2 linked regions of the Sus scrofa genome follow. The protein of the gene in region 1 interacts with the protein of each later gene in a biochemical or structural test. Links are inferred from orthologs where the notes say so. Each region holds a gene or a part of one and is shown on either strand. Other genes may lie near its edges.

Evidence for each region.
Region 2: of the proteins of PCNA (region 1) and USP1, one has a biochemical effect on the other in vitro, tested with the Homo sapiens proteins (6 studies listed by BioGRID, with this or other methods). The link is inferred for Sus scrofa from reciprocal best matches to the Homo sapiens genes PCNA and USP1.

The regions. Positions count from the first base shown.
Region 1 is NC_010459.5:14,138,957-14,144,590, reverse strand, and holds the start of PCNA (proliferating cell nuclear antigen), read left to right. Parts: upstream 1-2,006; 5' UTR 2,007-2,047; coding exon 2,048-2,268; intron 2,269-3,164; coding exon 3,165-3,262; intron 3,263-3,421; coding exon 3,422-3,489; intron 3,490-4,222; coding exon 4,223-4,417; intron 4,418-5,634. UniProt on the Homo sapiens protein: Auxiliary protein of DNA polymerase delta and epsilon, is involved in the control of eukaryotic DNA replication by increasing the polymerase's processibility during elongation of the leading strand.
Region 2 is NC_010448.4:149,972,428-149,976,567, forward strand, and holds part of USP1 (ubiquitin carboxyl-terminal hydrolase 1), read right to left. Parts: intron 3,952-4,140; coding exon 3,750-3,951; intron 2,957-3,749; coding exon 2,224-2,956; 3' UTR 1-2,223. UniProt on the Homo sapiens protein: Negative regulator of DNA damage repair which specifically deubiquitinates monoubiquitinated FANCD2. Also involved in PCNA-mediated translesion synthesis (TLS) by deubiquitinating monoubiquitinated PCNA.

The DNA of each region.
Region 1 (5,634 bases):
TGTTCCTTTTAATCAATAAGAAAAAGACAGTTTAATAGAAAAATATAAGCATGTAATGGTCAAATATGTGACAGGAGCTCCCACTGTGCTTCAGCGGGTTAAGAACCCGACTAGTATCCATGAGGATGTGGGTTCAGTCCTTGGTCTCAGTGGGTTAAGATCCTGCATTGGTGCAAGCTGTGGCATAGGTTGCAGGTGCATCTCAGATCTGGCATGGCTGTGGCTGTGGTGTAGGTCAGCAGCTGTAGCTCCTATTCAATCCCTAGTATGGAAACTTCCATATGCCACAGGTGTGGCCCTAAAAAGAAAAAAAGAAATATATGAAAGCTATCTAACCTGTACCAATCATTTAATGTGCAAATTGCATATTAAATATTGACTTTTTCACACAAATGAGCACAATTTCTTTAAAAATGAGGTTGCTAATACCCACAGAAAAATTAGGGGAGATGAGCAGGCTCATTGTCCTGGCTATAACATAAATTGAAATCTTTTAGAAGTCAGTTTAGTAACACATTCATCAAAATTTTCATGTATATGCTCTTTGATCCAGCAATACTACCTCAAAGACTTGCCCGAATTACAAGAAATTGGTAAATCTTTTTTTAAAGAGATGATGATGTAGAAAAGAAGTACGTGGCATAAAATTAAACATACTTTGTTAAGTATTTTGCATAAGTGTTTACAGTATAAACCGTTTTTTTGTTTTTTGTTTTCAGGGCCGCGCCCGAGGCATAGGGAAGTTCCCAGGCTGCGGGTAGAATACGAGCTACAGCTGCTGGCCTATGCCACAGCAACTCCAGATCCAAGCCGCGTCTGTGACCTACACCACAGCTCACGGCAACGCCTGATCCTTAACTCACTGAGCAAGGCCAGGGATCGAGCCGCAACCTCAGGGTTCCTAATCGGATTGTTTCCACTGCGCTACTAGGGGAACTCCCTGAATTTTGTTTTTATTTAATTATTTATTTATTTTTGTCTTTTCTAGGGCAGCTCCCGCGGCACATGGAGGTTCCCAGGCTAGGGGTCCAATCGGAGCTGTAGCCACCAGCCTACTACTCCAGAGCCACAGCAACTCAGAATCTCAGCCGCATCTGCAACCTATACCACAGCTCACAGCAACGCCGGATCCTTAACCCGCTGAGCAAGGCCAGGGTTCGAACCCGCAACCTCATGGTTCCTAGTCGGATTCGTTAACCACTGCGCCACGACGGGAACTCCTGAATTTTGTTTTTAAAAGTACATTTGTACAAAAAAAAAAGCTTAGAAAGTTGTATGCAGTAAACGATAGTTTGGTGTGTGTGTGGTGGGGGAGGCGATGGCAGTGGGGAGCCACGATAACTGTTTTCTTTTAATCATAACTGTACATCTCTTTATTGTTCACTTTTAGGAACGCTTCTATAATTGCTACTCTATAATAGCAGGGGGAAAAAAGTGCATATTTAAAGTAGCTATACTCTTTAGGCGCATGGTGGCTCTTCCTCCTAGAAGGCTGGATTTCCGTTTCACCTTCACTTTCAAGGCTGTAAATGTCCCATCCCTCAAGCGGGAAATTGATGAGGCACCACAAAGCCACCTCAACGACCCCCCCCCAAGCCTAGGCCTGACCTTCACACTTGCCCCGACTTGTCTAACGTCCGGGCGCCGGAACACGACAAAAAGGCGGGGAGCCCCGCAGGATGCCTATCAGCAGGCCCTCGTTAGGCGCAAGATTCCTGCCCCGCCCCTACGCCCACACTCTCCAATGGATGTTCGGGGTGGGACGGGCTTCATGTGGAGCAGGGACACGATTGGCTCCGCAGCCTCTCCGCCCAGGCAGTGGGCGGGGCAGCGTGGTGACGTAGCCATGAAGGGCGTGGGGGCGTAGCGCGCGCTCGCAGACGCGGCTGTATTAAACCGCTGCAGGCGCGGCCGGCTGGCAGTGTGCGTCCTCCGGTTCAGGCTCTGTTGTGGTGTTTTCCTGCTCTCTCTCAACTTCTGAAGCCTAAGCCGGCTACTCCTTCCTTCTTTCTTCCACCTGTAGCCGCGTCGTTGTGATTCCACCACCATGTTCGAGGCGCGCCTGGTCCAGGGCTCTATCCTGAAGAAGGTGCTGGAAGCGCTTAAAGACCTCATCAACGAGGCCTGCTGGGACATCAGCTCCAGCGGCGTGAACCTGCAGAGCATGGACTCGTCTCATGTCTCTTTGGTGCAGCTCACCCTGCGCTCCGAGGGCTTCGACACGTACCGCTGCGACCGCAATTTGGCCATGGGCGTGAACCTCACCAGGTGAGTCCCGAAGCCGCAGACTGTCGGGCCCGCGGACACCCCTACCTCCGCTCTTGGCGGGAGCGCCCATAAGGCGGGCCCTTATTGGCTGGCGTGGGATATCTGCACCTTTCTTATTGGCCTGTGGCGCGGGGCGGGGGGGCGGGACCAGTAGCAGAGCGCGCGGTTCGGAAAGCCCGCGCTGACTGCAGCGCGAACCGGCTGTTTCCGCGCCAAAGTCACAAAGCAAGTGGTGGCGGGAAAACGACGGGCTTCTTCGCGGTGCCAGGAAAAGATTGTTGCGGAGCCCTTGGTTATTAATTGCAGGCGCCTTTAGATGAGCCGCTTTATAATTTGCCCTACTTCTGTCGCCGTGATATGGACAATAGCTTACTTTTTTACCGCAAAGTTGCAGTGAACATCCTAAGATCCTGGATTTGAGGAAAAATTTCTCCAGGAAGGACAGTGGTTTTAAACTTTTTGATCACTACCTTTCCTAGTACATACACATGTTTAAGTTTTAAAGCTTGTGAAAAGTGTTTACCCGTGCTACACTCAATATAATAGACTGGTGCTTCAGTGGGTACATTAAAATCTAAGATCGTCGCGGCCCAATAATTTACTTCACCCACCAAAGGGATTTGTACTTTCTAAAATACTGGTCTTTTTTTTAATATCCCGAAGCGAAATTGCACATTGTGGGGTGTGGGCTTTTTCGTATAAGTATAAATACTGGCAGATTGCATTCCAAAACGGCTGGACTCTCTTACATCTTCCTGCAGTACGTTTCCCAAACTCGCCAATTCGACACGTGGTCCAGTGGTTAAAAGTGGTAACTCATGGTTTTAATTGAGTTAGAAAGCTAACGATCTTGAGAAGATGGTGTCGATTTTAAACTCTTGTCTCCTGTGTTCCAGCATGTCCAAAATACTAAAATGTGCTGGCAATGAAGACATCATTACGCTAAGGGCAGAAGATAATGCAGACACCTTGGCACTAGTGTTTGAAGCTCCAAGTAAGTTACACCCTTCTGAGTTAATGCTAGAGGAGATTAGAATGCAGTGTCTTTATTTCCCAAAGCTGAGAGAAATTTAAGATAGTTTGTGGTAATTGTAAAATTTATCACAATTATAAACCTACATGTTTTTCTTCATCGTTTGCTTTCTTTTGGTAGATCAGGAAAAGGTTTCAGACTATGAAATGAAGTTAATGGATTTAGATGTTGAGCAACTTGGAATTCCAGTGAGTATCAAAGTTTCTGATTGAGCATACTACATACAGTCATGATAGTTACATAAAATATATTAATATAATAAAGCCTACTTCCTAAAAGAGCTTTTTCTGTATATCTGCTCATGTATGTTCCAAATCCGAGTATTTAGACTGATATAAATGATGGTATTCTGCAATGGCTCATTGTTTTGAATTGATTGCTGCCACATGCATATTTGCATTAACCTAATTGACTCTCTTCTTTTTATTCCTACAATGCTTAATTTTTTATTGAGTACATTTTAAAGCTACTTTAGCAGAAATTCATTATGCTTTGGTTTATCAACATTAAATGAGAGAAGAGGGTTTGGATGTTTAATATGCCTAGTAATTGTATTTTCTTGTTTTGTTTTTCAAAAAAATGACGGCCTGTTAGCACCGTCATTGTGTGTGTGCTATACCCTAATGTTCTCTTGATTTAACCCTGTAGATCATTTAAGGGGAGGCTCTTGTTCCCTGGACAGTGCATTTACTATAAAAGTTCAAGTTCTTATTTGTTTCCTTTGATTATTTTATAACATTCTTGTTCTATAACTGTGTTTACGTTTTGAGTGGTTAGAGTATGTTAAGAAATTACACAAAGTGATATTTCAAAATAATTAGAAAACCTTAAATTCTCTTGTTTAAATGCTGAGTCTTCAGACAGTAAGGGTGCCAAATCTTTCATTTCCATTCATTGAACTTAAGTTTCCTTGTTTCATAGGAACAAGAGTACAGCTGTGTAGTAAAGATGCCTTCTGGTGAATTTGCACGTATATGCCGAGATCTCAGTCACATTGGAGATGCTGTTGTAATTTCCTGTGCAAAAGATGGAGTGAAATTTTCTGCAAGTGGAGAACTCGGAAATGGAAATATTAAGTTGTCACAAACGAGTAATGTTGATAAAGAGGAGGAAGCAGTAAGTAATTTCTAAGTAAACACAGTACTTTGAAAAGTAACTTTATGCTGCTGTAACAAGATTCCATAGACTAAGTGGCTTATAAACAACAAAAATTTATTTCTTACAGTTATGGAGACTAGGAAACTGGCAGATTTTGGTTTCTGAACCGCTTCTTGGTTCACAGATAGCAGCCTTCTGTGAAAAGGGGCAAGAGAGAGCTTTGTGGTCATTTGTAAGGATATTCACGAAGGCTCTGCCTGCTTAACCCTAAGTATCTCCCAAAGGCCCCACCTCAAACAGCATTACATTCATTACATTGGGGATTTGGTTTTAATGTGAATTTGGCAGGGGAAGGGGGGATGGGATGGGACATGACCGTCTGTGGCAAGGTAATTGCTAAAATTAAAGAAAACTCTAAAGAAAAATAGTCAAAATTTGCATTTCCAAGTAACTAATTTGTGAGAACTTGAAAGACTTGATGTCTTAAGGTGGTTTATAAATGCCATCTAAATTGTGAGAAGGCAATGCAAATTCAGTGCAACCTTTATAAACTATAGAACAATGGGTTTGTGTATCAAACCCAAACATAGAATAGGATTGGGAAGCTATATATATCCGAATATTGTGGAAAATTTGATTTAAAACAAACAAACTGGGGAGTTTCCATTGTGGTTCAGTGGTTAATGAACCCAACTAGTATTCATGAGGATGCAAGTTCGATCCCTGGCCTTGCTCAGTGGGTTAAGGATTCAACGTTGCCATGAGCTGTGGTGTAGGTCACAGACACAACTTTGATCCCCAGTTGCTGTGGCATAGGCTGGCAGCTGTAGCTCTGATTCGACCCCTAGCCTGGGAACTTCCATGTGCCACAGGTGCAGCCCTAAAAAGACCAAAAAAAAACCCAAAACAAAAAATCTGTATTTGCTATTTTTACCAAGTAAGGACTTTAAAATATACTCATAAATAGTAATAAAATAATATAAAAAAGTATAGTAATAAAAATGCAGAGGCTAATTCTTTTTCTTCTAAATTACATTTCAGTCTTGCCAATCTTCATTTTTGTTCTTGCAGACATTAGTTCACCTGTAACTATTTTGGTATTATTTTGTAGTATAAACATTTTATAACATCTTAAAAATTATGATTTAAGGGACTTTTCAGTGTTCCTATTTCCTTGGTTACTTCAATTTGTTTGAATCAAGATTTTAATAGGGCTGTATATTACAATTCAAAGC
Region 2 (4,140 bases), on another chromosome or scaffold:
TTGTGATACTATAGCTTGTAGTATATAGTATTGGCATCATTTATATTATAATCTATCCTTTTGATCTACTGACCACTTACATGAATCACTTAAGAAGCAATCAGATATAATATGGTGCCTTCATTCTGTCACTGATGTTGAGAACAGTCTCAAAAATGTCTGATACATAGATGCGATTGATGGCTTCCCCCACTCTTAACCTACCTTTGTAACAGGTGATATTATCTCAAATGCCTCTTATCTACATCAATTCAAAGACTGAACCACAGAGTTTTTTCAGGTGAGTCTACAGGTGGACCAAAAGAGATGACTAGGGAGTCAGAAAGGCATAACTTCAAAACTATATTTGGGAACAGAGGCTCCAGATGAACAGTAAGGAAAAGGCAATGTCAAGAACGGAAACCCTTTAAAACAAACCAAAAAAAAAAAGGTAACATACATACTCCATCCTCTCTAGGGTAAGGATGGGGGGAAGAATATTAAGTAATTCCTAGCTCATTTCTCATAAGGTTACATGTATTTTAAGAGTTTGGATTGTGACCCAGCTCAGTTACACTATAGGGGCTTTTAAGATTTATGTAATTAATGATTCAGTTATCATGCAATACTACTGTCTGACTTGAATCAGAAGAGGCTTTCTCTTAAAACATTGGTATAACTGAACACTTCCTAACTTACTATATTCTTCAGTTTTCTTAAACTTTCTCTTATGAAGAATCTGTACTAGTTCTTACCCTTGGCTGTTTCTTGAGTATTACAGAAGCTCAGGTTCTCTATACAAGGAACTACTCCACCAGAAGCTTATGAGTAGTGTTCAGGACTGTTTCATTTTATAATCACTTTATCCATTAGTGATTCCTACTCCCTCAGCTGCTTATGGGTAGTATTTAGCACTGTTAACTTTTTAAAAGTCACATTAGTGATTCTGAATATAGAAAGAGGTAAGAACTGTGACTTTTTATATCACACCATCTTGTGAAAGAGTTTCTAAGACATTATTTAACTGTAATCTATTAGTTGACAGATACTCTTTGTGTTGAAATGGTGTACAGCAGTGTTATTCCTAGAGCACTTACATATTCTTTGGGATTATTTTTAACGTTCTTAATGTCAAAAATATCCTTATATCCTTTAACAAGTCATAATGGGTCATTTACCAACTTATATATAAAACGAAAATGGGTCATTTACCAACTTATATTTACAATGAAAATTTAACCAAGTTTTTTAAGTTCTCCAGTTTGAGATTCCTTAGTTATACATCTGCTTTAAAGGATAAGGTATGACAACCTAGACGGACACACTCTCCTCTTTGAGAATTTCTTTACCTCCAACTGTGAAAAAGTATTATTACTAAAGGTAATTACGCATGTTTATTTTCTTATCTAGATGTGTGTATATACGTAACACATTTCACATACTCTTAGGAGAAACCAGCCAAACTTGTGATATTAAAAAAAATGCAACAAAACTTCAAGCATTTGTATACATAGTTGTTAAGCAGTTTAAATTTTATTGACCTCCCAGTTTTTAAAAAAATGTTAAATTTAAGGTCACGCGTCTACCTTTGATGTACTATATACAGATCATGCAGAGTATGACTATGAAGAGGTACAAATTAGTACATGCCCGAAAAGATTTACTAGAGTACAGAAGCATCTTCATAAATACATATAAAACTCTCGTGAAGACAGACTACCAAAGCTTTCTGAGACACTTTTCAAAGTAATTCAAGGCACAAAATGTACCCTATTGTGAATACGTACATATTCCAGACTTTGTGCCTCTAATATAGCCCATCAAAGATTTGGCTTCATGACTTATAAAAAACTAAAGTGAGATTCTGCTTCTTAGCTGGAAAAAACCACAGGACCTATAAACCTCATGTAGATAATTACTCCAAAATATGGAGATACAAATACAAGCACTTTATTTTAAAAATCAAACACAAAAAGATAGGTGTAAATTCAAAAGTGTTTAAATGCTTCCATTTTGAATAATTAAGAACCTATACAAGTTTGTTCCCAGAAGCTAATGCATCACTAGTCTCTACTAAGGAAGATGAATTCTAAAAATTAACATGGTTTTCAGTAATTCAAATATCACTATTTATATAAAAACCTAGAGAGACCAATAATGTCCAATAGCTTCCGAAGATTAGCTAAAGACTTTTACTGATGTTGTCCAGGTCTGTTTAATATATACACAAGGAAAATACGCTCACTATAACTTCTTATAAAATAGCAAGTAAGGAGTAGATGTAGGAGATGTAGAAGGGGAAAGAGAATTCAAGAAGTCCTTCTCTTCAGTAACTTTCACTTCAGAATCATCAAAAAGCAACCACTTCCCCTCATACTCCTTTAAGCTTTGCACTATGTACGAAATCTTGTTCTCAAATCCACTAATATTAATGCCTATTTGGTCACTGGATTCCTTGTTTCTATCAGATTCATGGGTCCCATTAGTATTAGTCTCAGAATTTCTGTTTTCAGCAAGTGCTGTACTGGCAACTTTATCAGGATTAGATGCTTTGTTGTATAACTCATAATCTGCTTTGCTCTTTTGTCCTCCAAGAAGTCCAATAGCTTCTACATTTTTTTTGTTCAAAACTTTACTTGGCTGGGTACTTCCACTGACTCTAATGGACACTTCTTCATCATCATAATTTTCAACCACACCCCTCGCTTCCTCCTCATTGAGTGGTTCTGGCTTACCTACTTCACACATTTGGTCGATCACAAAGTTTTCCTTATCTAGTTCTAAACTGTTAAGGTCAGTGACTTTAACAGAAGCAGTATAATGCCCGCTACTAATTGTAATGCCACTATGCATTACAACTGCAAATAATCCATAGCTGTCGTTGGTTGGCTTTGTGCTCCATTCTTCCAGTGACAATTTAAGAGGTGTCAGTAAAGGAGTGTTGATCTTGGAAAGTCCACCACCATAACAATCAAACCTTAGGAAGGAAAAAAGAAAAGTTTTCTGGGATTCCAAATTATATATATTCAGTTTTACACCCAACTGAACAAACCCTTAACATTTATTGTTCATATGAATAAACACAAAGTAAAAATAAGACCTTGATTTTGTAAAGTATTTACATAAGGAATACTGAAAAAAGTACTAACAAACATTCAGGTACTTCTATGAAGGATATATGGCACTTCCCTAAATTTTTTTGTGCAGTAAGAAAATGGATTTTAAAAAATTCTCAACCATTTTATTAAGTTATTTTAATGTGAAGTCTGTCTCTATCAAGTTTTGGAGACAAAAAATACAAAAAGAAAGAAAATAACAATGTGTGGAGAGCTACTGGGAAGCTCTCGTGGTAATCTCAATTCATCTGCAATGACATTATGTATACCTGTCAGAAAAAAGTCAAGTCTATCTAAACTGGCATTTTTATATTATTTTTAATTGCTTTTAGATATTTAAATTTTCAGCTACAGAAAAATCTCTCAAATTGTTCAAAGACTAATTTTATTTCCTGGCTTGCTTACCAGAAAAACTAAAATAATTTTGCTTTTTTTCTTCCCTCAAAAAAGTGTTGATGTATACAAAATTTTCGCCACTTTCATCAGTTCCACTAAAAAAATCTAAAGAAATGAAAATGGAAAATGTGTAAACAAATCATATGCATTTTTACCAAAGGTTAAACTGATTGATGCTTTTTTATAGAAACTGTTAAGTACACTACTACACTATTTTGTTACTATATAGTATTTTGAACAAAACTTTAGCATACTCACTCCAAGCCACTAGCAGCAAAGCACTTCAAATGAATAGTTATAACTTCAGGCATTTTGTCAAACAAAAGACTTCGTTCAGCTTCAGTGTAATGATGGCAATTTTCACAGAAATATTTATCTTCTCCTACAATCCTCTCCACTGAAGCAAACTGTGAAATTGCCCATCTCAGGGTCTTCATTTCTGTTTTTGGCTCTGGAGAAACTACACAAGAGAATCCTTTCACTCACAAATGAAAAATCTCTCAAATTTATTAACTTCAGCCACAAAGTTTCATGTTCAAAATTAGCAAGCAACTTCAATCAACTAATCTTTACCAAATAATAAGACATGTATTTATTTATTTTAGTTTCAGAAACTTTTAAGTTCATCCTCAGAGTACACATGCATTTA